7 linked regions of the Xenopus tropicalis genome follow. The protein of the gene in region 3 purifies or fractionates together with the protein of the main gene of each other region. This does not show direct contact. Links are inferred from orthologs where the notes say so. Each region holds a gene or a part of one and is shown on either strand. Other genes may lie near its edges. The genes, in order: mta2, jun, parp1, aptx, ctnnb1, top2b and top2a.

What was found.
Region 1: the proteins of parp1 (region 3) and mta2 purify together in Homo sapiens (affinity purification with mass spectrometry; 3 studies listed by BioGRID and IntAct, with this or other methods). This does not show direct contact. The link is inferred for Xenopus tropicalis from reciprocal best matches to the Homo sapiens genes PARP1 and MTA2.
Region 2: the proteins of parp1 (region 3) and jun purify together in Homo sapiens (co-immunoprecipitation; 3 studies listed by BioGRID and IntAct, with this or other methods). This does not show direct contact. The link is inferred for Xenopus tropicalis from reciprocal best matches to the Homo sapiens genes PARP1 and JUN.
Region 4: the proteins of parp1 (region 3) and aptx purify together in Homo sapiens (co-immunoprecipitation; 3 studies listed by BioGRID and IntAct, with this or other methods). This does not show direct contact. The link is inferred for Xenopus tropicalis from reciprocal best matches to the Homo sapiens genes PARP1 and APTX.
Region 5: the proteins of parp1 (region 3) and ctnnb1 purify together in Homo sapiens (affinity purification with mass spectrometry; 4 studies listed by BioGRID, with this or other methods). This does not show direct contact. The link is inferred for Xenopus tropicalis from reciprocal best matches to the Homo sapiens genes PARP1 and CTNNB1.
Region 6: the proteins of parp1 (region 3) and top2b purify together in Homo sapiens (affinity purification with western blotting; 3 studies listed by BioGRID and IntAct, with this or other methods). This does not show direct contact. The link is inferred for Xenopus tropicalis from reciprocal best matches to the Homo sapiens genes PARP1 and TOP2B.
Region 7: the proteins of parp1 (region 3) and top2a purify together in Homo sapiens (co-immunoprecipitation; 3 studies listed by BioGRID and IntAct, with this or other methods). This does not show direct contact. The link is inferred for Xenopus tropicalis from reciprocal best matches to the Homo sapiens genes PARP1 and TOP2A.

What each region holds. Positions count from the first base shown.
Region 1 is NC_030680.2:36,848,645-36,852,928, forward strand, and holds the start of mta2 (metastasis-associated protein MTA2), read right to left. Parts: upstream 2,801-4,284; 5' UTR 2,682-2,800; coding exon 2,654-2,681; intron 1-2,653. UniProt on the Homo sapiens protein: May function as a transcriptional coregulator. Acts as a component of the histone deacetylase NuRD complex which participates in the remodeling of chromatin.
Region 2 is NC_030680.2:86,738,694-86,742,508, reverse strand, and holds jun (transcription factor AP-1), read right to left. Parts: upstream 2,668-3,815; 5' UTR 2,163-2,667; coding exon 1,224-2,162; 3' UTR 501-1,223; downstream 1-500. UniProt on the Homo sapiens protein: Transcription factor that recognizes and binds to the AP-1 consensus motif 5'-TGA[GC]TCA-3'.
Region 3 is NC_030681.2:7,987,611-7,991,696, reverse strand, and holds the start of parp1 (poly [ADP-ribose] polymerase 1), read right to left. Parts: upstream 2,801-4,086; 5' UTR 2,687-2,800; coding exon 2,567-2,686; intron 1-2,566. UniProt on the Homo sapiens protein: Poly-ADP-ribosyltransferase that mediates poly-ADP-ribosylation of proteins and plays a key role in DNA repair.
Region 4 is NC_030677.2:94,453,522-94,457,689, reverse strand, and holds the start of aptx (aprataxin), read right to left. Parts: upstream 2,801-4,168; 5' UTR 2,726-2,800; intron 2,717-2,725; exon of another isoform or gene 2,525-2,716; intron 1-2,524. UniProt on the Homo sapiens protein: DNA-binding protein involved in single-strand DNA break repair, double-strand DNA break repair and base excision repair.
Region 5 is NC_030682.2:53,356,337-53,360,594, forward strand, and holds the start of ctnnb1 (catenin beta-1), read left to right. Parts: upstream 1-1,458; 5' UTR 1,459-1,518; intron 1,519-4,258. UniProt on the Homo sapiens protein: Key downstream component of the canonical Wnt signaling pathway.
Region 6 is NC_030682.2:47,634,985-47,638,484, forward strand, and holds part of top2b (DNA topoisomerase 2-beta), read right to left. Parts: intron 2,463-3,500; coding exon 2,268-2,462; intron 1,488-2,267; coding exon 1,349-1,487; intron 527-1,348; coding exon 362-526; intron 1-361. UniProt on the Homo sapiens protein: Key decatenating enzyme that alters DNA topology by binding to two double-stranded DNA molecules, generating a double-stranded break in one of the strands, passing the intact strand through the broken strand, and religating the broken strand.
Region 7 is NC_030686.2:8,636,589-8,640,088, reverse strand, and holds part of top2a (DNA topoisomerase 2-alpha), read right to left. Parts: intron 2,374-3,500; coding exon 2,290-2,373; intron 2,187-2,289; coding exon 1,992-2,186; intron 1,858-1,991; coding exon 1,728-1,857; intron 1,638-1,727; coding exon 1,491-1,637; intron 1,203-1,490; coding exon 1,028-1,202; intron 684-1,027; coding exon 631-683; intron 339-630; coding exon 186-338; intron 1-185. UniProt on the Homo sapiens protein: Key decatenating enzyme that alters DNA topology by binding to two double-stranded DNA molecules, generating a double-stranded break in one of the strands, passing the intact strand through the broken strand, and religating the broken strand.

The sequences.
Region 1 (4,284 bases), on a different chromosome or scaffold from region 3:
ACATACTAAAAGTCAACTTGAAGGTGAATCACCTATTTAAAGGAACAGTAACCCTAAAAAATTAAAGAGCTTTAAGGTAATAAAAATATAATGCACTGTTGCCCTGCACTGGTAAAACTGGTGTGTTTGCTACAGTAACACTACTATAATTTATATAATAAGCTGCTGTGTAGCCACGGGGGCAGCCATTCAAGCTGGAAAAAAGGAGAAAAGGCACAGGTTACATAGCAGATAACAGCAGATAACAAATAAAACACTATTGTATTCTACAGAGCTTATCTGTTATCTGCAATGTAACCTGTGCCTTTTCTCCTTTGAATGGCTGCCCCCATGGCTACACAGCTGCTTATTTATATAAATTATAGTAGACTTTCTGAAGTAAACACACAACTTTTACCAGTGCAGGGCAGCAGCACATTATATTTTAGTTACTTTTATACACTTTCATTTTTTGGTGTTACTGTTCCTTTAAGCTAGCCCACATCTATTAATCAATCGGCAAGTAGTGTTTACTGGCCAGCTCTTTAAAAACAAACATCTAATTAGTTGCTATGAGGCCCGCACTGGCGATCTGTGGAGTCTGGCAAATGCCAGAGGGGCTGCTGTAAGATGCCATAGACCGTTACTATTTTTTGGGTGGGCTACTAAAAAAAAAAAATGTAACTATAGGGACTTAACATATGTTAACATAGGTACTTTGAGCAGGCAAATTTCTTTACTGTCCTGAAACATATAAAACATATTTCAGTAGGCATCACATATAAGCTTAACATACTGCTTCCTATGAATCCAATACACCTTTGTTATTATTATACTGCAGTTTAATTCCACGTTACAAAAACATGTAGGCTTATTAAAGGAGACGGTGGTGTAGAATGAAAAGGCTGGACTTTTGTTTTTAGTTCAGCTTTTCAGGGCTGTGGAGTCGGTAGATAAATTCTCCGACTCCTCAGTTTCTGATACTTCCGACTCCGACTCCTCTGTTTTTAACATGTTAATGTATTTTATACATTCATACAGTCAATGAAAAACATGCTTCATGGTCACTCAACGTGTTTGTTTATGCACTGCGTGCATTGGGCTTTATTCTTATAGCAGAGAAGTAATTAATTATGACTGTTTGTGAATTGGGACATTTAAACTTGCTTTATTTTTTTTTTATTCCCATTTAAATTTAGTAGGAGTCGGTTCATTTTTTGCCGACTGACTCCAGGTACCCAAAATTGCCTCCGACTCCTCGACTCCACAGCCCTGCAGCTTTTCACTTTACTGCGCTTGCACTCCCAGCTTAAAAAGCAAAGAGGAAGAGAATTGCCCTGTGGTGCCACTACAAAAATACCCCAGTCCAGTGCAGTTTTCAGCAAATGGGAGAAATGGCCCTGGGTACCAGGCAACTAACTGTAATCACTGTGGGAAGGGGGGGTGCTTGAACTTCCCTTCTTTTTAACCGACACCTGATGAAATTCATCCACTTGTGTGAATGCAATCTATCACATTAGACTGTAAGCTTTACTGGCACCACAACTGATACAAAGGATAAATGATCAGACTACATTAATAAGAAGGCTCTTTCACAGATTATGGAATGTTAATAAAGGTTAGTTAAGAAAATAAATTGTAAATACCCACAAATTTCTTATGCAAACAAAAAAATGTAAAAAATCCTATATAAATATGTATAAACAAGTGTAAAGAAAATTAACACTTGGGGATAAAAAAGTTGTGTAAATACCAGCTTTGATTGTGTTCAAGATAGACAGGTTATAGTTATATGCTGCAGGATAATGAGAGTTCAACATGTCCTTGGGCAGCCATGGCCCAGAAACAGTGGATTACAGTCAGGTCAAGATTGACAATCAAAAGTGGCCCTGGCTTTTCAAGTAGACAGAGGCCCAAAAAGCCCAATAAATATTGACTGCCTATAGAATCTACCTGCAGCCCCTCTGGCATTTGCCAGATTCCATAGATTGGCAGTACAGTCCTGGTTACAGGGTCATCTACCTGATAAGCAATTTGGCACAGAAGCCCTCTGAGCAAGATCAGCAGGGGTTATTCTCATGGAAGCTCCCTGTCTTACACACACAAGCAGTGACAGACAGACAGACCTCACAGAAGCCAGTGCACAAAGTCAGGGCAGTTTCCATTGATCAATATTATGAACAGTGACAAACAGGCAGGGTACATAAGGGGTGGTCCTAACAGCCCCGGCCACTAAACTAGGCTGAGTGTGATTGAGTCAGGTAAAGAGTAACCGGGCTAGTTTAATACTGCAGAAACAGCACAGCAGCATTTTAGTATTTAGGTTACATACTGACATTTGTGTGTGTGTGTGTGTGTATGTATATAAATATATATATTTATGATCTATGTGTGCATATATATATATATATATATTATGTGTGTATTATATATTTTCTGCATTAGACTAAAGACACACAATGCACAGAAATAAGATAAAGATAATCATTCTACATTTCTGCATGTAAATAAAAAGCGTTTACTTTAATTCAGCATTCGGTGCTCGCTACTCTGTACAGATGATGTATGGGTATAGACTCTCCCTCTACAGCGGATAAAGTGTGTGTTTAACTACATAGTATAAAGCTCTACAGATATGCTTTCGGCTCAGAATGATTTTACTGTGAGTTCTCACCTCCCACCCGGTACATATTAGCCGCCATCTTGCTCTCTCCCGCGCACAATAACTCGGGAATCTGCGCGCGTTTCCGGGGCCTGTGGGGGGAGAGGAAGGGGAAGAAAGAGGGGCAACTTCCGGCATAAAGAAGCGAGCAGCCTTCCGGGGGAGGGACAAAGCGTTCGATTGAAAGAATTATATCCGGACATAAACGAGTGCTTCCGGAATCAACTGATGACTTCCGAAGAGGGAGACGGGAAAACCCGAACTTCTCCGAAGTAAACGACGCACAAAGGCTGCAGTCAGTAGAACGCGCTCGGAAGGAGGAAGTAGTTGTGGACGCATTAAAGTGATGTGCGGCAGAGTTGGTCTGCTAGTATCCCTTACTTTTAATAACTGGTAAAATGCTGGTTTAGTGAGTAACGACATACACGTCCCTATGGTTTAAGTTTACTCTATCTGAGCTTTATGGAATATAATATACAAATCGTTCTGTAATATGCGGTGTATTATATATATATATATATATATATATATATATATATATATGTGTGTGTGTAATATATATTACACAAAATGTGTGAATAATTCAATAAAGGTGCTGCTCAGTAATGTCATCATTTATAATTGGTGCTTATTGATTGAAAGGCTCTTGCTATTACAGGATGTAACAAATCACATGATGCCTGATTTTAAAGGAGAACTAAACCCCCTAGGTAGAAAAGCCCCACTCAACTGACCTCCATCTGCCTCCTCACCTTTCCTACCCTGCATAGTCTATTTAATAACAAAGTGTCCCTATCTGAACAACTGAAATAAAAATGCAGCACAGCGCAGATTGCAGGCTCCATCTTCACTCCCTTCGATCTTCTTTGTGTCTCTCCGCCAACACTGACCCTGCAGGAGTATGTAGAGTTGTGATTCCGCACTAGATTCAACTGTGCATGCTCCTGCTTGCTCCATGTTTCATAAATGAAATACTGCATTCTGTGATTTTGTCCTTGTAAGGGGTGAGTATAATTGTTTGAAATCAGCCGTGTATAAGTTGGCAAAGGAAGGGGCTACATTAGAGCCCATACTTGTATCACTAACTTATTGGTAGTATAAAAGTTCAAATTTAAAATAATAATTGGAGAGACAGCATTCCAGTAATTCCATAAGAAATTCATTACATGGCCATGTACTGTCTAGATGGGCAATCGGATGTTGGCGGATTGTTTGGATACCCAAGTATGTAGGGATCACTATATAAAGAACGTCTATAGCAAGTTTACTGTTGAGAGATAAAGGCAATGCTGTTTTAACTTTGGTTAAAAAGTCCCCAGTGTCCTTATTCTAGATATCCCTTGTAGTTTTGGTTAAAGAAAGTCCATATAGATAGCTATTGGTTGTAAAATAGACTTTATAGCACTTACTATGGGACGGCCTGGAGGTTTCCTGCCATTTTAAGCTGGCCATACACGCACCAATAATATCGTACGAAACCTCGTTTCGTCCGATATTCGGTGCGTGTATGGCAAGTCGACGAGTAGACCGATATCGCAGGAGGCTGCTGATATCGGTCGACTCGCCGATCGGGCCAGTTAAAAGATTTTGATCCGGCGCCATAGAAGGCCCCTGACCAAAATCTGCCTTCATCGCTGAATCGG
Region 2 (3,815 bases), on a different chromosome or scaffold from region 3:
TCACACCTCTTGTGTTTCCCAGTAGCACCTTAAGAAACAAGGACTCTAAAATGCTACAGTTTAATAAATTAGTTGGTATATTCTCATCAGTAGCTACTTTAGTTACTACTACTATATCAATTTGTTACACTTTTCTTTTTTCAATAAACTTAGGAAAAGCAACTATTTATCAATTTGTAAAATTGAAGAGGGCTGGCAACCAGTTGGTATTTGTGGTGCACAATTTGGAAATGATTATTTAGCCAATAAGGCTGGAGAATACTGTAAACCATTCCTAACCCCTCAAACATATAATAACAGCAGCAAACTCTTGCCAAAAGCCCAGAACTTTATAATAGCATATATAAATAACCCCAAGTGCTATGATATAAAGAAAATATTGGTCAGTATGTTCTTTTCTGCTTTTACTTTTATATTGCCCAATACCCATATCAAATAATTGTCAAAATATAATACCCTTGAATAGACTCATGCAATATATCAAGTACTATACACAGGAGATAGTTTAACATGCACGTTTATTGCAGTGTAAAAAAAAATATCAATATAAATAAAAAAATCTAATTTCCACATCTTTTATTTAATATCTTAAATATAATTGAACGTCTGGAATTGTCCTTAGAAACAAAAACATAGAAAATTATTATACTTTATTACAAATGGTAAACTCAAGAGTGCTCAATATCTCTTATTTACAGAAAGTAGTGGGTTTATTAACCCAAACATAAAAATAACTTACAAATGCTTGAAGCAATTTTACTGAAATAATTCAGTTTTTCTTAATATTATAATAAAAAAAACAAATATGTACACATACACAGTTATGTAGAAGGCAGGCAGATTTGTCATTAATTTTACTTTTCAATGTCCCGTATGCCTCCCTCCCACACCCTCCCTTTGTAAGAAAACTACGGAAGCAATCTAGTGTCTCTAGCAGTTTAACCTTTTCTTAATACTGAATGATCATCGAATGTTAGGTCCATGCAGGTCTTGGTCAATGTTAAACATGTATCTGATGTTTCATTAGAGCAGGAACAGCACTTGACAAGTGATACTGCTTGTTGCATTGCCACAGGCTCCACCTAAAGGCTTGTCAGGACTCCCCGCACACGCACGTAGAACAGTCAGGTCTCAGTGCCTTTCATTTTGAGCCAGGGAGTTTCAACATGAAACTATTTCCCTCCACAAAATAATTCTCACATCTCTTTCCCAAAGAAGCCTTTTCAGAATGTTTGCATCTGCTGTGTTAACATTAGCTGACACCCACTGTTGACATGATTCATGACTTTTTGTTTGAGCTGGGCTACTTGCTCTCTAAGCATGTTGGCAGTGGATGCCAGTTCAGAGTTCTGGGATTTTAAGTTTTTAACTTTGTCTTCCAACCTGGAAATCCTCTCCAGTTTCCTTTTTCTGCATTTAGATGCTGCGATTCTATTCCTCATACGCTTCCTTTCAGCCTTTATCCTTTCCTGGGACTCCATGTCAATAGGGGACAGTGGAGGAGTCTCCCCAGGCATTTCAGGTACAGTCTGTGGTTCCTCTTTCAGAGCCTGTAACCTGGGGTGCTGCACGGGTATTGGTGGGTTACTCTGATGTTGGCCGGTATACCCCATGGTGTTGCTGTTAAAAGGCGATGATGTGGTGATGGTACTTGGGTTAAAGTTACTTAGATTGGCATACACAGGGGGCTCGTTGTGAAGACTATTGTTGAAGCCAGTGTTTCCAGCAATAGTAGATACAGGTGTCAGTCCCGTGCTGGCAGGTTGGGTGGCAGTGGTTACACTTGGCAAGTTGTTTTGATGGTGGAGTTCTGCCAGTGCCCTAACAAACCCCTCTGCAAAGCCTTCTTGCTCGTCTGTGACATTCTTGGGGCACAGGAACTGGGTGGGGGTCGGGGTGGTGGTAATCATGCCATTGCTGGACTGGATGATAAGCCTCTCCAACTCCGGGGAGGCGAGCTTGAGAAGCCCAACATCAGGGGAGGTGAGCAGTTCAGCTGCCTTGTTTCTCAGGTGAGGTTTGATGGCGCTGCTGGGGTCCGACAGGTTCAGGGTCATGCTTTGCTTCAGCACCTTGTTGTAACCATAGGGAGTAGCATCGTGCTGGGCGAAAGCAGCACTCAGGGCATCTTCGTAGAAAGTAGGTTCCATCCTTGCAGTCATAGAACGGATGCCGGACAGGGACGATGACTGGACCTTACGTTAGTGTGACACCAGCACCAGCCTAGAGAGAAGAGCGAACAGGTTGTTAGCTGACACACCGAACCCCATGGCACCTCCACCCCTCTTCTAAATGGAACTTATGCTTCGCCTGCCGAACTACAACTGGCAGTGTCCCGTAGTGAGAGTTCAAGCACAACTGCTCCCAGCCTGGCACATAACAGAAATAAATGCGACTTACTTTGTGTCTCTAGCAGCAAAGAGGTCCTCGTACTCCGAACGCCACAAAAGTTCTTATAAACTCCCGGGAAAGTTTCCAAAGCGCCGCCGGAGATATGTAATGGCGAGCGCTGGGTGTGTGCGTGTGCCCAGTATAGGTGTCAGGCACACGGACACAAGGAAGAAGTCACTGAGAAGTTAGACGTTCCTTCTCCCCAAGCGCCACAAGTGCTGTCAGTGTGAGCTCTACTCACTTGTACTGGGCTGTGGGACAGCGTGCAGCTAACACTTATCTGCGAGCGGTCACCCACTAAAAATAGACATGATGTCACCCCAACGTCCTGCTATTGGTTGAGCCTTGGGAAGGGAGGCGGGCCAGCGAGGCCAAATGAGCCTCGGTCGCTATGACGACCGCCCTAGAAGATTCTAACTCTCGCGAAGGCTCATGGGATGAGGTAATGCTCCTTTGCCGCTGGGCATTGTGGGCTGACGTATTGTTGTTGGCGGTGCCCGTTCCTTGCTTTGGTAGTTGGGATGGTAGTTTGACGTGGGTTTCCCGCCATAAGGGCTGTTCCGCTCACCCCCTGGTACTGGACAGGGGCTTGAGGCAATTGTATGGTAGTCGTAAGCCGCGGAGGAGACTCATCCCTTTCCTAGCAAAGCGCGATATGGTTGTAATGGTTGTCTGTCACATAAGGAACCGGAGGACTTGGGCTGTGTTTGTCGGCTGGTGAAACTGAAAACTCAGAGTTGAAACAGATTATTTCCACAGGTTTAAGCGATCAGTATGGCAGGTTTTTCAATATGTTGTTTGTTAGTTGCCGAACTAAAATGTGGTAGTGGTTGCTGGGAGTTGTAGTTTTGAAACAACTGGTTATTTTCGGTAGAATGTTATTAGTGTGGTATAGTTTTACTGGCTTTATAGTTATTGTTCTCTTCGCTGTTTTACTTTGTGTAGGACACGGGGGAGACCAAGTTGCAGCCCTCCGGCCATTGCGGGTCCGTGTGTGGGGGTGGGGCTGTATGTGACTAGGAGTTCAACAAGAGCTTGAGGATCGCAACATTGCATAGATACACCAGTGTCAGTGACAGAGAACATGTAAGGCTGTATAGCATCATTGTTATTAAAAGGGTCCCAGTGTTGTGTAGGCATGTGCTACATTCTAATGATCATGCCTTTCTGCACTGGGGTGGATAGCCAGGGAGAAAAGGTGAGGGAAAGTTTTTTTTTTTTTTTTTTTTTTTTTTTTTTTTTTTTTAATTTGGTGGGGGAGGGAGTTTATTGGTGGGTGGGTGTGTAGATTATGATGTGGGCGTTGATGAAAGTAAAAAAAGGATGATTGGAAGCAGGGTGAAGGAGGTAGGGGGAGCGCTGGGGAGGCTTAAAAAGTTTACAGGAGATCAGGTTGCATCCATGAGAACGGAGACTGGCTTTTA
Region 3 (4,086 bases):
AACCTGCTAACACAAGAAATAAACCCAATAGAACTGTTCTGCCCCCAATAAGGGGTAATTATATCTTAGTTGGGATCAAGTACAGGTACTGTTTTATTATTACAGAGAAAAGGGAATCATTTAACCATTAAATAAACCCAATAGGGCTGTTCTGCCCCAATAAGGGGTAATTATATCTTAGTTGGGATCAAGTACAGGTACTGTTTTATTATTAAGGAGAAACCGGAAATCAATTTTAAAAATCTGAATTATTTGAATAAAATTGAGTATGGGATATAGTCTTTCCGTAATTTGGAGCTTTCTGGGTTTTCAGATAACTGATCCCATCCCTGTATATTAAAAGCAAAGTTCGATGTTCCAGACTGCAAAACAAAGCACAAGGCCACTTACTGAATTTTTCTTACTCGGGTGCATTAACTTCAGCCAAAATAGATACAATTCCCATACACAGAGAAAGAGGGGGTCTTGAATAAAGACCAAAGCAAAACTGTTTATCTGGACTGATGCCTAGAACTGTGCTTCAGTGTATGTACATCACTGCTGATCAAATCCAATGCAATCAGATGAGATCACTTTAGTCTGGTCTCCCCACCATCACCTGGCATGTATGTGGGGGGGCACTGGCTGACCAGTATGGGGGTACAGCTTATTGCGTGCCCAGAACATTCCTTCTCTGTATATTTGTATTTATACATATGGGTAGGGGGTGCCATAGTGTTTCCCTTAGACAGTACAGTATGGGGGTACAGCTTATTGTGTGCCCAGAACATTCCTTCTCTGTATATTTGTATTTATACATATGGGTAGGGGGTGCCATAGTGTTTCCCTTAGACAGTACAGTATGGGGGTACAGCTTATTGTGTGCCCAGAACATTCCTTCTCTGTATATTTGTATTTATACATATGGGTAGGGGGTGCCATAGTGTTTCCCTTAGACAGTACAGTATGGAGGGCATCATTTTGTGTGCCCAGAACATTCCTTCTCCGTATATTTGTATGTAGATAGGACTCAGCTGGAAATCCCTTACTGATACTACCTAGTTAGTCTCAGTTCAGCACAGTAATCATGAAGGAAGGGGGTGGGTGCTGCAGAGCCACAGGGGCTAATAAAGTGCCCAGTGTGACACCAGCCTTTGTTATCTAGTAGAGACAATTGCCCCGGCTCCCCCCTGGGTTCTGAGCTGCTCGGTATGTATATAGCCTTACAATGGGCCCCCGGCACTGTAAAGTCTTGTAAATACAGGCCAATGGCAGCCTCTGGGAACACGGGGCAAATATTCCTCTTGCTGTGCAGCTCTACGGTGGGTGTGTAAACATCCAGAATTGCCCTGGCTTCTCCCTGGGGGAGGGGTTTGGGCAGATACAGAAACAAACTGTATATAGGATCCGCCTTCTTATTCCCAGTATTGGTACCATGTTACCCCATTCTGGGAGAAAGACCAACAATTTGCCCTGGTTCTTTCCCTTAACTTCCCTGGCTTGCCAACAGAATACCCCAACACAGGGCAATAACAGCCCATCACTGGGGCAATTACCTACTATACATCACAAACCTACCGTTTGACAACAGTCCCCATTCAGGGGCAACAAGCCCCCCTACAACTCATTACTGCCCTATACCTGAACTCAAAAGTACCCCAGCTGGGGCACTTACCTAGAGCATGTTATCCATTGGCTTTCACAACATACCTTAACCTGGGGCAATAACCTTCCATGACACCCCACCTTAGGACCCGTATTCACAATAATAACCCACTGGGCTGGAGGGGGCACTTTCCTATACCCCATTACTAGGGCAATTAGCCCAGGGCTAATAACTTACAAACTGCCCATGCTGTATGAGCCACACTAGCCTCCCCATAGGCAATAATGGCCCATACTGTATGAGCCACACTAGCCTCCCCATAGGCAATAATGGCCCATGCTGTATGAGCCACACTAGCCCCCCATAGGCAATAATGGCCCATACTGTATGAGCCACACTAGCCCCCCATAGGCAATAATGGCCCATACTGTATGAGCCACACTAGCCTCCCCATAGGCAATAATGGCCCATACTGTATGAGCCACACTAGCCCCCCATAGGCAATAATGGCCCATACTGTATGAGCCACACTAGCCCCCCCCATAGGCAATAATGGCCCATGCTGTATGAGCCACACTAGCCTCCCCATAGGCAATAATGGCCCATACTGTATGAGCCACACTAGCCCCCCATAGGCAATAATGGCCCATACTGTATGAGCCACACTAGCCCCCCCATAGGCAATAATGGCCCATACTGTATGAGCCACACTAGCCCCCCCATAGGCAATAATGGCCCATACTGTATGAGCCACACTAGCCTCCCCATAGGCAATAATGGCCCATGCTGTATGAGCCACACTAGCCTCCCCATAGGCAATAATGGCCCATACTGTATGAGCCACACTAGCCCCCCATAGGCAATAATGGCCCATACTGTATGAGCCACACTAGCCCCCCCATAGGCAATAATGGCCCATACTGTATGAGCCACACTAGCCCCCCCATAGGCAATAATGCTGCAGCCCAGCCGGGCCCCTACCTGCACCATGAGGGCAAGCCGCAGGGACTCCTTGGCGATGTTGTCTCCGCATTTCTTACAGGAGGCGCGGCCGCTCTTGGCGTACTCAGCCCGATAAAGTTTCTCCGAGGCCTCGGCCATGGCTGCAGGGAGGAGCGGCTCCTACACACAGGGACACTCCGGCTCCCACTGGAACAGCGTGCAGCCCCAAGCCCGCCACACAACAGAACAGGCACAAGCAATCACCGCCAGAGTGCGCGTCTGGGCCGCTTTGCTTCCTGGCATCCGGGGAACGGCAATCCATTGCCCATGTCTGGGCAGGGAGGGCGTGGCCCCAGCACACTTAGTGACGTCACTTTCCCTAGCTTATCTGTGTGTCTGTGTGAGAATTGTGAGGAATGTTTGTTTGTGTGAGGAATGTGTGTCTGTGTGAGGCAAAGTATTATGTAAGGATAATAACAAGGCGTCAGATTTGTGTCTTGTGACTATATGGGCACAGAACCCCTCAGTGACTGCTAATATCCTTATCATTTACAGTAGGGGGTACATTATCCCTTATAATACATGAGTGATACTCAGAGTTCCCTGTATAACTCAGCCTGCAGCCTTGTGCCTTTATATGGGGGGCACAGAACCCCTCAGTGACTGCTAATATCCTTATCATTTACAGTAGGGGGTACATTATCCCTTATAGCACATGAGTGATACTCAGAGTTCCCTGTATAACTCAGCCTGCAGCCTTGTGCCTTTATATGGGGGGCACAGAACCCCTCAGTGACTGCTAATATCCTTATCATTTACAGTAGGGGGTACATTATCCCTTATAATACATGAGTGATACTCAGAGTTCCCTGTATAACTCAGCCTGCAGCCTTGTGCCTTTATATGGGCACAGAACCCCTCAGTGACTGCTAATATCCTTATCATTTACAGTAGGGGGTACATTATCCCTTATAATACATGAGTGATACTCAGAGTTCCCTGTATAACTCAGCCTGCAGCCTTGTGCCTTTATATGGGGGGCACAGAACCCCTCAGTGACTGCTAATATCCTTATCATTTACAGTAGGGGGTACATTATCCCTTATAATACATGAGTGATACTCAGAGTTCCCTGTATAACTCAGCCTGCAGCCTTGTGCCTTTATATGGGGGGCACAGAACCCCTCAGTGACTGCTAATATCCTTATCATTTACAGTAGGGGGTACATTATCCCTTATAATACATGAGTGATACTCAGAGTTCCCTGTATAACTCAGCCTGCAGCCTTGTGCCTTTATATGGGCACAGAACCCCTCAGTGACTGCTAATATCCTTATCATTTACAGTAGGGGGTACATTACCCCCTATAATACATGAGTGATACTCAGAGTTCCCTGTATAACTCAGCCTGCAGCCTTGTGCCTTTATATGGGGGCAGGGCCGCCATCAGAAATCACGGGGCCCCTCACAACAAGATTTTCTGGGCCCCCCCTCCTCCCACACTCCCAATGGCCCCTCCCCCAGTGACCCCTCCCATCAATACAAAGGACATACAGAC
Region 4 (4,168 bases), on a different chromosome or scaffold from region 3:
GTAATTCGGAGCTTTCTGGATAACGGGTTTCCGGATAAGGGGTCCGATACCTGTAGCAAGAGAACAAAACAGAGATCTTAAAGGCATGGTTCACCTTTAAAGAGATACTGACACCAGAAATTAAACCTTATTTACATCTACCGTAACACTGTCTTTGCATGCTATTTATAATTTTTCTTAAAGGCATTTATGCCATCCCACCGGCAATTTACATTTTCACCGACCGGAGGGATGGCATTTTGGGGAGATTAGTCGAGGGCGACTAGTCTCCCCGTGTGACACAGCCCTAAACCAGTATTGATTTCTGAGGTTACCATTTTATTGTTATTGTTTCTTTGTATTACTTATCTTTCTCTTCAGTCCCTCTCCAGTCTCACAAACCACTGCCTGGTTGCTAAGGTAAACAAGGCTCTAGCAACCAGACAGCTGCTGAAATTCCAAACTGGAGAGCCGAGGAACAAAAAATAACTGAAAAACCACAAAAAAAATAAAAACCAACTGCAAACTGTCTTAAAATATCATTGTCTATGTCATATTAAAAGAAAATTTAAAGGTAAACAACATCTTTAAATTTGACTCAAAATTCCCTGAATTTCTTGCTTAATTGTTTTAGCAGAAATAAAGAATTGTGTACAGGGGATGGTTGTAAATCGTACATTCTCTGAATGAAGTAGGGTTCTCCACAGGGTTCTGTATTGGGTCCTTTTTTATTTATTCATTAATAACTTGGGGTGGGTATTGAAAGAAATTTATCAGTGTTTGCAAATGACTAGGGATGCACTGAATCCTGGATTCCGTTCAGGATTCTGGCCGAATATAGCCTTTTTTTTTTTTTTTGAAGGATTCAGTTTTGGCAGAATCCACAGTCCCGGCCGAACCGAATTAGCATAAATTCATATATGCTAATTAGCATTCGGAAGGGTTAAATGGTAGGGGGAAGATTTTGAGCTATATTAAAAAGGGGTATAGATTTGCATGATACTCTCCCTCTTTTTAAAGGGGACCTGTCACCCTAAGAAATAATTACAAATTGTTTTCTATTGTGTTTGTCAAGCAAAATAAACTTCAATTACACTATATACATTTTTTGAAACCTATTTCCTTCAGCCTTGGAATTCACCATTGCAGAAAACAGGCAAGCTCCATTTTGTGGACACTGTTATTAAAGCAAGCTGTGCATCCTGCCAAAATCTTGTTTCTGTGCCAGTATGGGGGGACCCGATACCCATGTACATGCACTGGTTACAAAATTAGATGGTGAGGAGGGAGGGGGAATGTGAGGAGAGCAGCAACATCTAAGAAGTTCTGAATTGAAAGTGAAATTAACTGTCTGCCCCACCTCTATGCCTTAGGCATAGAGGCGGTCAGGAAATATTTAATTGACAGCTGGGACTTGCTTGTATAATGGGTATAGATGTGTTAATAAAAAAATGACTTTGGGTTACATGTTTAATTTGAAAGGGGCTTTTATTATACAGCTTTTTATGTCTGTGTGACATGTCCACTTTAAGGCACCAGTAGGGCCTTAAAGGAACAGTAACTCCAAAAAATGAAAGAGCTTTAAAGTAATAAAAATATAATGCACTGTTGCCCTGCATTGGTAAAAGTTGTGTGTTTGCTACAGTAACACTACTATAATTTATATAATAAGCTGCTGTGTAGCCACGGGGGCAGCCATTCAAGCTGGGAGAAAAAGCACAGGTTACATAGCAGATAACAGATAAGTTCTGTAGAGTACAATAGTGTTTTATCTGTTATCTGCTATGTGCCTGTGCCTTTTCTCCTTTGAATGGCTGCCTCCATAGCTGCATAGCAGCTTATTTATATAAATTATAGTAGACTTTCTGAAGTAAACACACAACTTTTACCAGTGCAGGGCAGCAGCACATTATATTTTAGTTACTTTTATACACTTTCATTTTTTGGTGTTACTGTTCCTTTAAATATGCAGCAGTTTTGGTCTCTAGAGCCTTATTGATAGAGTTCAAAGAAGAGGGAACAAGCTGATAAAGGGAATAGAAAGGCTGATGAAATGCTATGATAACCATGTATGAATGCACCTTACAATAAACTTTTTAAAGGGAGCAAGAACCACAGAACCATTGTTGACAACCAACATACAAGGCTGGCTGCTTGTACTCATGTCCTGCAAGCCCTATTAACCGTAAATTATGCCCACCAATTTCCACTTGGTTTTCTCCTTGTAGTCCTGCTCATATGATAAGCTTAAAGCATGGGTATTCGGCATGTAATAAATGTACTTGTTTGTAATGAAAAATTGCCTTTGACCCATGTTTTCTGATTACAATATTGGACCCTGGGCAACTTGGAATTGTCTATTGCAGTCACAAAGAAGCAGCATCCCTTCTGATGAGATGACAACTTCGCTCTTTAAACGGCATGGCTATATGTTGTAAAGTTATCACGTTTCTGTGAAGCCTTGCAGCTATTCGGTAGGGAAGCTGTCCCTTAAGACAATTCCAAAGACGCAAATTTGTATAAATATATGTATGTACAATCTTACCTAGCGTGGGTACACACGAAACATCAACAGCTATACACTACAAGGCGGAGCCTGCATATACTATGACCTACGGAATACAAGTGGACGCAAATCTCTGTCGGCCATTAATATGACAGACACGTATTTTAAAAGGCTGATAAAACACCACGTATGTGAGTGTAAAAAAAATCATTAGGCGTTTTTCGTGGTGTTTAACCATACCAATTCTTAGAATTCACGTGGTCGTCAATCAATTCAACTGATTTCAGTGCCACGTAGCGGTTGGAACGCAAGGCGTGCTGCAGTGAACCGCATCAGGCACGATTGGCAGCACGTTCCCGCCCTCACTAACGCGCAGTTGGATTGGAGCCTGAGTATTTGCCGGTTCCGGACTCTAGGCGTCATCGTGGTCTCACCACCCCCTTCTCTTTCCTTTTACATAAGATTCCCGGATGTGACTCTTGTTCCCTCGATCCTTCTAGAAGCTGTTAGACGGAGAAGACCGCTAGCCACCTTGAATATACAGTGCATTATCGTGGGTATGAAGGCATTAATACATTTATTTATTGTTGATTTTGTTGTTTTTTTTATCCCAGCTAAATGGAACACGTGCCGTGTTTTCTGTCTCAAACGTAGTCGTTGCTTTTATATGAGCGAGTTTTGGATGTAAGCGGTTATTGACTATATTTTTTGCAGGTTAGAATTGAACTCTAACGTTTTTCCCTAATGAATAGTACGCCTGGCTATGATTTTTTTAAATTCCTTTGGGTTATGATATCACATTTGTCGGTCCGAGGTTATGTGGGTTCGTCTTTGGTCGGCGAGGAGGTACTGAGCTAGGTGCCTGATGTTGGCTATTCTCTTGTCACGTGACTTGGCAGTGTTGGTCATTTGACTGGGGTCAGTGTTTCATTGCTCTTTTCTCCTGATTGAAGGCTCCCTGGGGCTCAGTTTTGGATCAATACCGGGTTTTAGTGTTTCTAGGCAATGAATGCCTGAAAAGTGACCCACCTCTAATTGTGTTGCTAAGAGAATTGCATAAGTGTATCCACACATGAAATACATCATAATGCATAGGTTTTAGCGGTACAAAACCCATGGCATCCTTCAGAAGTCTGACCACTTTGTGAGAATTAACTATTTCTATGCACGTTGTCCCAAAGTGTATTACCAGGATTTCTGTAGTTTAACAGTAGTGCTGGTGTCATATTTTGTTGGTTTATTTTTTTCTTTTATTTATGATTATGATTATTTAACTTATGATTATTTATGATGATCAATGCAATTCAACTTCCTACATGTTGCAGAGAGACTGTTACCTATTCCACATATTCATTATACAATTTACACATTTACTTAAAGGAACAGTAATGCCAAAAAATGTTAGCCTTTTAAAGTAATTAAAATGTACTGTTGCCTTGCACTGGTAAAACTGGCATGTTTGCTACAGATTTCCTACTATAGTTTATATAAATAAGCTGCTGTGTAGCCATGGGGGCAGCCATTCAGATTGGGGGGAAAAAGGCACAGGGTACTTAGCAGATAACAAATAATGCTCCATTATATTTTACAGAGCTTATCGGTTATCTGCTATGTAACCTGTGCCTTTTCTTCTTTGAATGGCTGCCCCCATGGCTACACAGCAGCTTTGTTTATATAAACTAG
Region 5 (4,258 bases), on a different chromosome or scaffold from region 3:
TCCTTTCATGGGTGTAGCCTGCTGACAGACATTACCTTCACCTCGTATTATGCAACCATCACCTATTCATTTTAGGCACCCATTCTAAAGACCAATGAAATTTCACTTTTTTTTTTTTTTTTTTTTTAAACATGGGTACCACAGGTTTATTCTTGATTAGGTATTATTGAACTACAAAAAGGCCCGGGGCTTTTAGCTGATCAAGGATGCTGCAAACCCTAACTGGATGGGGTACAGGCTGGACATCTTATACACTGAGAGCTGTTTAATGCAGGGCAAGTGTTATAAAGGAAACCACTGGCAATACTGTATGGCTTTGACCATTAAGTTGGAAAAAATACATCATTCATGGACTGTCCAGTCTACTATTCTGCTGCTGTTTAAATACAATCAATCTTGTGTAAACAGAAAGGTGGAAGTTGCAGTTCATCTTCAGCTGGAGTGCACAAGGTTTCACATCCCTGACAGATACACTAAAAATATCTCATAAACGTTTACACAATACACTTTGTCCATTCTGCTTTTATCTCTTATCTGCCCAGACGTGCCCTGTGACTTTGGAGGGGGCAGGGCAAATGTACCCTCTCCTCTAAGCTTTGGTTTAATATTGAGCTCTGTTGCAGCACTTCAATCGTGCAGGACTCGTGTTACAATTCCAACGAAAGAGTTAATACTTCCCCCTCCTTTCTTTGTCTCCAACTCTGCCCTCATCGGGCTCCACATTCCAAGCCTAGGAGGAAAAAAAACAGCTCCGGCCGCATTTCCTACTGAGGATCATTCCGCGTTTAAGTCCTCCAATCCGCACAATGAGCAGGAATGAATCTCATCTCCGCCCAAACTGTTCGTCGCTTCCAAAACCTGACACAAAAACTTTTTAATGCTTAATTCAGTAACACCCATGCCTGTGACAATTGCCACTATATCGCCATTAACTAACTTACGCTTCCGTACATACACAAACCATTAACAGTTGGGTGGCGAATTGCATCTTTAGGTTTACAAGAAACATTTATGCACCAGCTCTACTCGAACGTATCTGCATATTTCATGCGGAGCATATGATAGTATTACAATTGCCCTTTTAGTATTTTCCGCAGCTCTGTATACAACAACCTAGGGAGGGCATTTGCTTTGGGGAAGAACTATTTTTTATATTTCCTTCTGAATCACTCCGCCCACGCCCCGTTTATGAGACCTTTTCCTGCCGCCGAAGCCCGCGGAAGGATATTCACACGCGTATGTAATGCGACCCATATAAAACAAGGGTGTGCGGCGCCATTTTAAGCCTGTGTGTCGCGTTTCAAGCGAACGGGAGAGTAGTGCGTTTGTTCATGGCTGGGAACTGAAGGGGATCAGAAACATAAACGGGGAAAAGAAAATCAACGCTCTTGCCGCCATACCCCGTCCATCTTAAAGTGGGACACAATTCGGAACCTGCAGGGTCTGGAGGTGTGTAGGAGACGGCCAGTACCGGGCGAAACGCGGTGACGGCCGGAACCGGTGGACGTCGAGCCAACGGTAAGATACTGCAAATGTCTTTTTATTTTTTTTGTAGCTTCGGTGTCGCTATCGATTGTTACCGTACCTAGGAAGCTGCTTGGGGAGTGGTGGCATTTGTGGTTATGCAACAGCTGGGGAGCCACATGATGGAGGTTAACGTGGTCGGATCTGTTTGACTTGACTTGGCAGTGTGGTTAGTGCGTTTTTTTTATCTTTTAAGGATTGTGGGCAGGTACTGTACATGTCTGCGGTGTGGAACTTGCGGCCGCCTGGCCTCGTTGGGTAGAGCATTGTTTGGAGTTAAGGATCAGAAACAGGGCCGGAAGTTGGTTGTGTGTGTGTGCCTTTGTACTTGTCCCATAACTGTACTGCATAGTATTGTTGGTGTGTAGGGGGGTACCATACAGTCCTATTTAAGGAATCCCAATAGATACGTATCTAAACTACCCTTTCCATCTGCTTGTTGGCACCTTGTTTAAAAGCCGTCTTTGTGCGTCAGCGGGCTGGCCCTCTTTCCTTTGATTCTAGAACTTTTATAATGTGTGTTTTGGCATGGAGTGATGTGCTGAGTGCTTGCAGGTTCTACTGCTTTTGAGATGTGAGAACTAATGTGCAGGAATGGAGAATTCTATCCAGTGTATCAGATTCACGATGCGGGACATGTATAAATCCATACGTTGTTTTAGGGCAGCTTTGGGAATGTGTATATATTCCCCCTCCCTGAAACTCTCCCCTGTGTACTTAGTGTTTCAGTGATGGAGCTGTGAAATATGAGCCACTCTTGCAACTTTTTTTTTTCTATTCACTCCCTGTCTTGGCCTAGGGTGAGGCTCAGTCAAGCCAGGATATTCATCGCCCTTCCGCTTAGAATTAGTGTTTCCAGTGTTTTGTTGCAGCAGTAAGCTATAGTCATGGGCCCTACTATCCTATCGTTCCAGCTAATGTGTACAAGGTTTGGCTTCCTGTAAGAAACCTTGTACGTATTTGGGTTTAGATTTTAACTTGTGGGTGCCAAAACTTGTGATTTAATGCTAAGTTAAATGATCTATATTATAAATTAAGCAAATGTTACTGAAGTACAAACAATTGCCGCTTCCCATGGAGTAGGTAATGTGAGAGTAGCTCACTTGTGCCTTTCAGTGTGCAAATATGCAAACAAACACCCTCAAGCTGAAAAGTGTTTGTGGTGGAGCTTGGAGAAATTCAGGTTAGTGGGAGGTGGCATTAGGTGCTTTTTACTGGGATGAAATCTGCTCATGTGCTATAGTATTGGCTAACATGGCTTTAGTTGAGGTTTTGTTACATATCAAGGCTAGTCTCCAGGACATGGATTTTTCTTTCCCCCAACTCCATCTCCACCCTCTCCTGTCCTGAAAGTATGCAGGGTAGTGAATAGATTAGACTAGTCAGGAATGTGATCTTAAGAGAAAATGTGGTGCAGAAATTCCAGGCACTTAACACATTTCTAGCTGTTTTGTGCTGGGGCACGGCTCTTATTTGACAACTAACTAGACTAAATATCAACTTTAATACAGCTATGGCTTCCGATAAAAGCCACCTTCTCATGTTAAGCTATGGCAGTGTTTTGATTGTTTCTCAGTTGCAGCAGTCTGCGCACAAGTGGTGGTTTTGTTCCACCAGCTGCAGTAGGAAGGAAGGGCCTGCTGGCAATTCATGCATTGGGGCATTTGTGGCTTCCTCTCCAGTTAACAGTACAAATGTTTAGTGCAAGTATTGTAGCCGATGTGGTAGGGCAAATATTTGTAACTAGCCCGTTTTGGCACTAATGCAACTGCATGTTCAGAATGGTAGAGGATTTGTTTCCTTAAACAGTTCAGTAGGTGGGCAGTGTGCACTTTGCTCCCTCACCTGCCTTTGACATGGGAAGTATGTTTCCTTGATCTTGCAACTATCTTGAAAACATGCTGTTGCCCATTGGGAAATGGCCAATTGGACATGGGGGGGTCTTTCTGTTCACTGCTGCAAGAATCAAAGGTCCTAGTCGGTGACCTGTGTGCATTTCGGGTCGTAAGTCTACTTCCCCAGACAGTATCTCATGGAATTAGTATGTTCTTAATGTGTAGCATTTTTTTCTTAAGTTTCTTCTATGCTCCCAAGACAGGAAGGTTAATTGGCTCCTCCCCAGAGTGGGTGTATGGTAGGAACCATAGATCATGCTTCATTGGGGCAGGGAATGTTACTGTATAAGCTCTCTAGATTGCCATAGAACATGTTGGCTCTATATAAAGCATAATAGTGGTTTGTAGCTGCTAACTGGCAAAGACAGACACTTCATTGTTAACTGTGCGAGCAGCACTATCTGGTGTTAATAGGCCTTATGGAACAGTGCTTGCCTTTGCAGTGTCCTGGGAAATGACCAGTACAACTAACTATACTTTCTGTGTGAGCAGCAAAGTACTTCTATAAAAGCTGCATTAGTTTCCTTGCCAGGAAGTAAAAGTGCAGCTACCACTAAACATCAAATTTAAATGAAGCACTGTGGCGTGTACTAGCTGCTTTAAATGTTGTCCTTTTAGTCAAACTCCTGCAAAAAACTAGCCTTTGAAGTGTTAGCATGCAAATTCAATCCATGTGTGTTTGGGAGGAGCAGGGGTCTTTGGTTTGTAGGTTTGCCTTACTGCGTCAATGGCATATTACTTTACTGTTTAAGTAGGTAACTTTGTTCCATGTAAACTTAACATTATTGAAGCGATAGATGGACTTTCCCATGGGGTTTAAGTATGCTGTCATGTGTGTA
Region 6 (3,500 bases), on a different chromosome or scaffold from region 3:
AGGAAATAGAAAACTCAAATCTCTCATATTTTTCTAGTTTTTGAGCTCTAAAAACTCAAAAACTTCAAGTTTGAGAATATTGCTTGACTTTGCCTACGACAACTCCAGTTGTCTTGGTTAGAAACTCACAAGCTTTTAGATGGTGAATTTTTATATTCGAGTTTTCAGGTTTTTTTGCACTTAATACGATAAAATAAGTTTTCGAACCATAACTTGAATTAGATTTTTTACGCTAAAAAAATTCATACTTGACTGTTAACAAATCACCCCCTCAAGATTATAAAAAATGGTATAAATTTAAATATCCTGGAAAGCAATATTGTGTTGCAGAGATGTGCCCCCATATTTCCATGATACATACCAGCTGCTCTCCTTAGGAGAGAGTCCCGAGGAATGACCACAGGCTCTGCCTCAGCTTCTTCCAGGTCACTGTCTGATTTTGACTCATTGTCTGACCAAGGGTTTCGCTTCTTCCCTTTCTTGGTTGATGACTTGGGTGTTAATACAGTCTTTTTGGCTCGAGGACCTCAAATAAAAAAAAAGTCACTATGAGCAAATCAAAGTATATTCGGAAAACTACAACTCACTGTATTTCATTTTACTGACCACTGGTATATAGTTAATATGCACCTGTTTTCCATTCAGCAAAAAAGGAGAGTCTCTCTCTCTCTCTCTATGAAGGATAGGGAACACTGCAGATCCTATTTTAAGTTAGCTGAAAAAGTGCTGTGCTAGGAAATAAACTTTTATAGTAATCCTCTTTATAAGACCGCCTCGTTTATAGGACTTTAGTAAAAATGTATAATGCCAATGTCTGCCTAAAAGCCAGACTGACAGTAAACCTTAAACAAAAGCTAGATCATGTTAAAACACCAATGTGTAGCAACAACAACTGCAGCCTGGAGTACAAAAATATGGCTGCTATGTCTGGCAATCTCCTTAACTAAAACTACTGGGCTTCAGTTAAAAACCAGGAAGTTACATGGTTCACTTGCTACAAAACTCAACCAATCTTTCTATGAGATGTAAAACATGAAACAATATTACTTGTGAATATAAATAATCATCTATGTTCTTTGTAATTCTGAATTACTTCACAGATATGGGAGTTGACGTGTGAAAGCTTTGACTATTAATTCCCTCTATGAAAATGCAATATTCAGTGCTTAACTGTTAAACAGGGCTAGAAAGTTAACACTAATAACTTTATATACAGGTGTATTGGGTTAGAAGTCTTACAAATTCTGGAAAACCAAACACCAATATCATTTAAATTTATTTTAAAAAAGTTATATTCACTCAAAATGTTTGGACTTCCAGGAATGGACCCATGTGCTCAGGCACCTACCTGGTTCTTTTCTTTCTCTCTTGGGCTTTACAGGTTTTACAGGAGTGGTATTCATGGAATCTTCAGCTCCTCCCTCTGCTGGTGCCGAGCTAAACTCCTCATCAAATTCCATTTTCAGTGCAATAGAGTCAATTTCACCCTTAAAACAATTTGTAAAATACAACAGTGAATTCTCTAGAACAAAGAAATGCTGAGACAGATTATTTTGGCAGCAGAGACACTTTGGTGCAGGTGTGTGGTGTATTTCAGCAGGAGACAATTGCAATGTCCTGCATGTCAGGAAGCTGAACATGTGCACAGCGATATCTAAATATGTGCAGTTTACTTTGGGCAAAAAACTGTGAAACATTCTACAGAAACAAAGAGGCTTGAAACCTGTGAAATACATAGGAGAAACATGCTGGGGTTTTACATACTTTAGAACCAAGGTGTTATAAAATCTGTTTCAGTCACTAGAAAAAGTATTATTGCTACAAACAATATTTTTGTATTGTGTAATGCTAATCCATTAATGGCTAACAGAGACATTTCTCAGCTGTCAGACACAAAACCCTAGCCTGTTTAAGCAAGAACTGCACATCAGGGGAAAATATACACCAGGCAACACTCCCTCGTCTGTGGCCTTCTATCCACACAGGGCACTAATAAAGAATACATGGAGACAACAGCCTTAAAAACAGACTCACAGCATGTAGCATGTAAAGGAGGAGTATACAACAGTCAATAGTCATTAGTTTAATGGAAAATATGTATTCAGTGAGGCCCAGATATGATGTAACTTATTTGCTGGCCCATACGTTGCTATATTTTGTATAGCAAGTCTGTTACAAAATCTTGTACCTTATTTATTTTTAACACAAAAATATGAGTCCCAAAGATACAGCCACTGCAAGGTAATCCTGTTAGCAAGTAGCCTCACCTTCTTTTTCTTTAGCATCTTTTTGCTGGCATCTGCTTTCATTGCACTGATTTGTGGCTCTACTCTTCTGCCGTAAAGAGATGGCAAAGTCTCCTCAAGCTGTAATTTCTTCATTTTGGGTTTTCCAATTTTGCCTTTTATTGCTTTGCCTGCAAACCCTGCTAAGACATCTTCTTTTTCTTGAGCTTCCACTCTCTGCAATAAAATAAAGAACAGAAGTAAGTATAAAACCTGTGCATGAGGGAGAAGAAACTGCAAAGAAGAATAATTACCGTATATACTCGAGTATAAGCAGAGTTTTTCAGCACCCAAAATGTGCTGAAAAAGTCACCCTCGGCTTATACTCGAGTCGGGTGACATGGTTCCCTCCAGACCCCGTTTGTGTAACCCCCTGCCAGGGTCGGACTGGCCCACTGGCTTACCTAGTTGAACCACACGCAACTCTGAACTCAGCATACTCTGTGTAGAATGTGCACCGCATGTCCAACTCTTAGTTTGGATAAGTGCTCTGTTCTTAACAGGCCCCAGCTAATCTGTTTGGCAATAAATTGCAGAGTGTCGGCAACAGCGTCACTGGAGGCTGACAGAGCAGGGAAGGAGCAGCGCTCATATGGAAATGAAGGATGACCATAAGGGCTGCCGGAAGTAATGCACTTAGCTCTGCACTGCACTATTTATTTTATCAGCTGTCCTAGAGAAACGTAACCAGGGATGCAGTGGGAGTGTTAGCAAGCTCCCTCTTGATAAAAAAAAAGTAAGCGTTCTTTGCCTAAATAAATTTTGGAGCTGACAGGTTAAGCTTAGGAGGTGGGATGAAAGCAGCTCTTTTGACTAGTTAGTTTTAAGGTCCTCTCATTTTGCATTAAATGTATATACTTTGGCTAAAATTTCAGGTTGTGCGGTTGTGTAAAATCTGTCTGTGCTGTACCTGATCAGTAGTTACTATTTAAATTCTGCTTAAAATCCTGAGCTAATATTTTTTAATCTGACTGGTGGTTTTTCATATTTAATTAGGGAACCTGTGGTGGGCCTCTAGTGTGCCAGTCTAACAGTGGTTACTGTCATGTCAGAGTGGTTAATGTTTGGGATTGATGTGTTGTAAATCAATTTCTGTAATGATATTACTGGTTTAAAATTTTTAGCGCTGTTCTATGAGATTGGGGCCCTCAGCCTTTCCTTTTCACTTTATGCCACATTTTGATGAGCTGGCCCTGCTTGTTTACGCATTGTTCT
Region 7 (3,500 bases), on a different chromosome or scaffold from region 3:
TTATTATTATTATATTTACTGTGATACAAACACCAGAAATGAAGTGTTTTACATCGGCATACTTCTGTATACACAAGGTCACGGCAAACGCAGTAAAGATCTGTAGTGGGCCAAACTTGGATATTAAGATACTTAAACAAAAAAAATTGCCCACGTTTAATATATTGCAAAACAGAAGTTCTCACCAGTCTTCGGTTTCTGGACTCGTTTTTTAGGTGCAGGTTTCTTCTCTGCCACTTTAGCACTTGACACTTTGGCACTGGGAGCCGGTGCAGGGGCGCTGGGAGCACTGGTCATTATGGGAGTATCCTCATCTTCATCTAATGCAATTACTGGAGCTAGACAAAAATACAACAGAACCAGTCACATTAATACCAAGACATAACTCAGATCTGCCAGGATACAGAATGGTTAATATATGTTGTGTTATGTTATCTATGAATATAGCATGTTTCATTGCAGCAGAAAAACAAGCCAACATATGGCTGAACTGGGGTAAACATACATGTGTGATCCTTTATTTCATTGTGGTCCCATTTGTACTGGGCTCATAAAACCCCCAAAACACGTTGCCATATGTAATGTATTACTATGTGAATATCCCAAGCAGCTATTCTTGATAAAACATACCTGCTTTGTCTTTCTGTGGAGAGTTTTCTGGGCTTTCAATCTTTTTAGCTTTCCTGTTAAATAAGTTAAACCATTTTAGACAAAACATCAAATCTTACAGAAAAAAAAGCCTTTAAATCAGTAGTCACCAACTCTGTATGTTTGCAATTCTGTTACTTTTTATAAGTTTTTTAAATCACTCCCCCTCATTCAAGTTTCTACCTGGTTGCCAGGGAAAAAATGCATGTTGTCTATATAATACTAACATTTAGAAGCTACCAATTTCCATCAGGATGCCAGTAAGGTAGTTTCCAATCACATCCTTTTTTTAGTAAGCAGCATTAAATGGTGGAAACAAAATTGTCACCAAGAAATGGCTTAAGTTGATTTGTACCTAAAGGGAGGGGAGAGTACTCACTTGGGCGCAGCTCTGGGCTTTTTGGCTGGCTTTGCAACTACAAAGGATTCATCTTCTGAATCAGATTTTGGGTTGAAATCACTGAATTCACTGTCACTCTTCTCCTGAGGCATCTTTATGCCGCTTCCCTCTTCTTCACCGTCTTCATCAGAGCTCAACATATAGTTCACTTTAGCTAGAAGCAAATAAAAACATTTGTTATCAAGCAGAACCCTTTTATGTGGTAACACATTCCATAGCAGGCCTAGGCAACTATCAGTAAATGAATGAATGAAACAATAAAGAAGCTCTAAAAACAAACAAAAAAACCCCCAGCACTGGCCTCTATAGGGCCCCCTTTTTGCACCAGTACTTGCATCAGAGGCATTTGTCGGGAAGCCCTAACACCATGTTAAACACTATGTTCATAAAACCCCAACTGTGTTCAGACTGCAGAGGTAAATTTGCTACTAGCATTTCTCACCTGCAACATTGCGGCGTGGCTGAGCAGCACGTGGCACCACTTCTTCCTCGGACTCGCTCTCTGAATCCTGGAATGTGCTCTTTGCCTCTTTTTTTACTGGCTTGAAGGGTAACGTTGCCTGCTTCTTGTCTTTGACAGCCTTTGCGCCTTTATGTAAAAGCAGTTATAGAAATGTTAGATTGCAGCATAACACCAGCATGCAAACAGAGAAGCTTTCATTAAAAACCATTTACACACCTGGCTCTTTTTTAACTTTTTTGCTTAATCTTTCGGCAAGCGTTAGGCTCTCTGGACTTTGTTCTGGTGAATTTAAGCTGTCTCCTTCACCATCGTCTTCGAAATCCATCTTCTTAGCAACATCCTCACCCTAACAAATGGCAAATGTTTGGGTACATTTTATAAATGCAAAAGTCAATACATATTCTATATATACATATGCTCAAAAAGGCCAGTTATTGTTGAGCCAAGCAAACCTAAATCTATACAGAAACGCTCGTTTACCTTAATTCTCTTTTTCATCTTTTTGGTGGCTTCCGCTTTCATGGCTGTTGTGACCTTAGGGACAACACGCCTGCCATGTGGAGATGGCATAATTTCCTGCAATTGCATTTTCTTTACTTGCGGTCTCCCACTCTTTCCTTTAACCACTTTGCCTGTTGTTACGGACTGTTCTTCCCTTTCTTTGGCTTCTACACGCTGTCACAAAGCAAGAACACAACTCCTGTTGTTGGAACCGCAGCAATTTATATAAAGCAACAAATACCAAATAGACAAAGGAAGGATAGATGTTACTACTTACGTCTAGCTCCTCAACAAATGCAGAAAGGTCTTCTTTCCACAAGTCAGAAGGTGATTTCTTTTTCAGGTCCTGAAGCTCTGCGTTCTAAAAACAAAATGACAGCATTTATTGGAAATGCCAGATAGTGACACTCACCACTAGAGAAGGTGGAAGTATTTAAATATTATCAAACCAACATCAAGGCAACTCCATATTTAGTAATAAGTAAATGCTATGCAGTAAAACCCAAGCAAACATCTCTGATGAGTTATCCGACCACTGAAAGTCACAATTAAAGAAGGGTTGGTTTCTGGAGACAGTAATGTATGTTTGGAAGCACCCCCAGTATAGTATCTGACTGTCGCCAGTGGTGTAACGCCCTAAACTGGCCAGGTCCATAATCCAGGAAAGCAAGAAAAAATGGAAGCCCAGCACACACCAAGATATGATGCTGTAGCAGAGATTTATGGTACCATACCATATGGCTATATAAGGCTGACATTTCATGGGCTTGTATCTGCCGACCACTACTGGTCATAATATCTAACCATCTTAGAATTGGCAAATAAGCCACATTTGTTCCTAGTCAAACCCAAACAACTAAATTCACTTAAGATGGAAAAACAACTCTAAAGAACTATTTTAGTTCTTTGCCATTTAAGACTTTTTGAAAGGTCTTTTATTCAGACAACCAAATCTTTGTAATGATTTTAGAGCCTTTTGAGTTTGAAGATAACCAGCCTCTGGGATGTAATGTAGAAGAACCTATTAAACTGTGTTCCCCTGTTCACACCTCAGGAGCAGTAGAAACCCACAAATAATCCCTGCATACTACAAAAAGAACATATACTGAGGTGGTACTGCAATTAAAAAGTTTTTTAATATATATTTATTGTGCAGACTGTAGGAGCAGTGCCAGCATTGTGTCACTGTAGGCTGCCTGTGTGTGCCATACACACGGGCAGCATAGGGCAAGCAGAGTATGGCACACACAGGTAGGGTAGGGAAGGCAGAGTATGGCACACACAGGCCAAGTATGGCACAAACCAGCCAAGAATGGCACACACAGTGAAAGTATGGCACACACAGGCAGGGTAGGGCAGGCAGAGTATGGCAGGTTTTTGCTGTACTACAACCATTAATATGGGTATGGTCATGTGATAACATGGGTGTGGTTTCAAGTTAATCAAACCCTGTAGAATAGTAAAAAGGTTTGCATATATCTGCTTTTA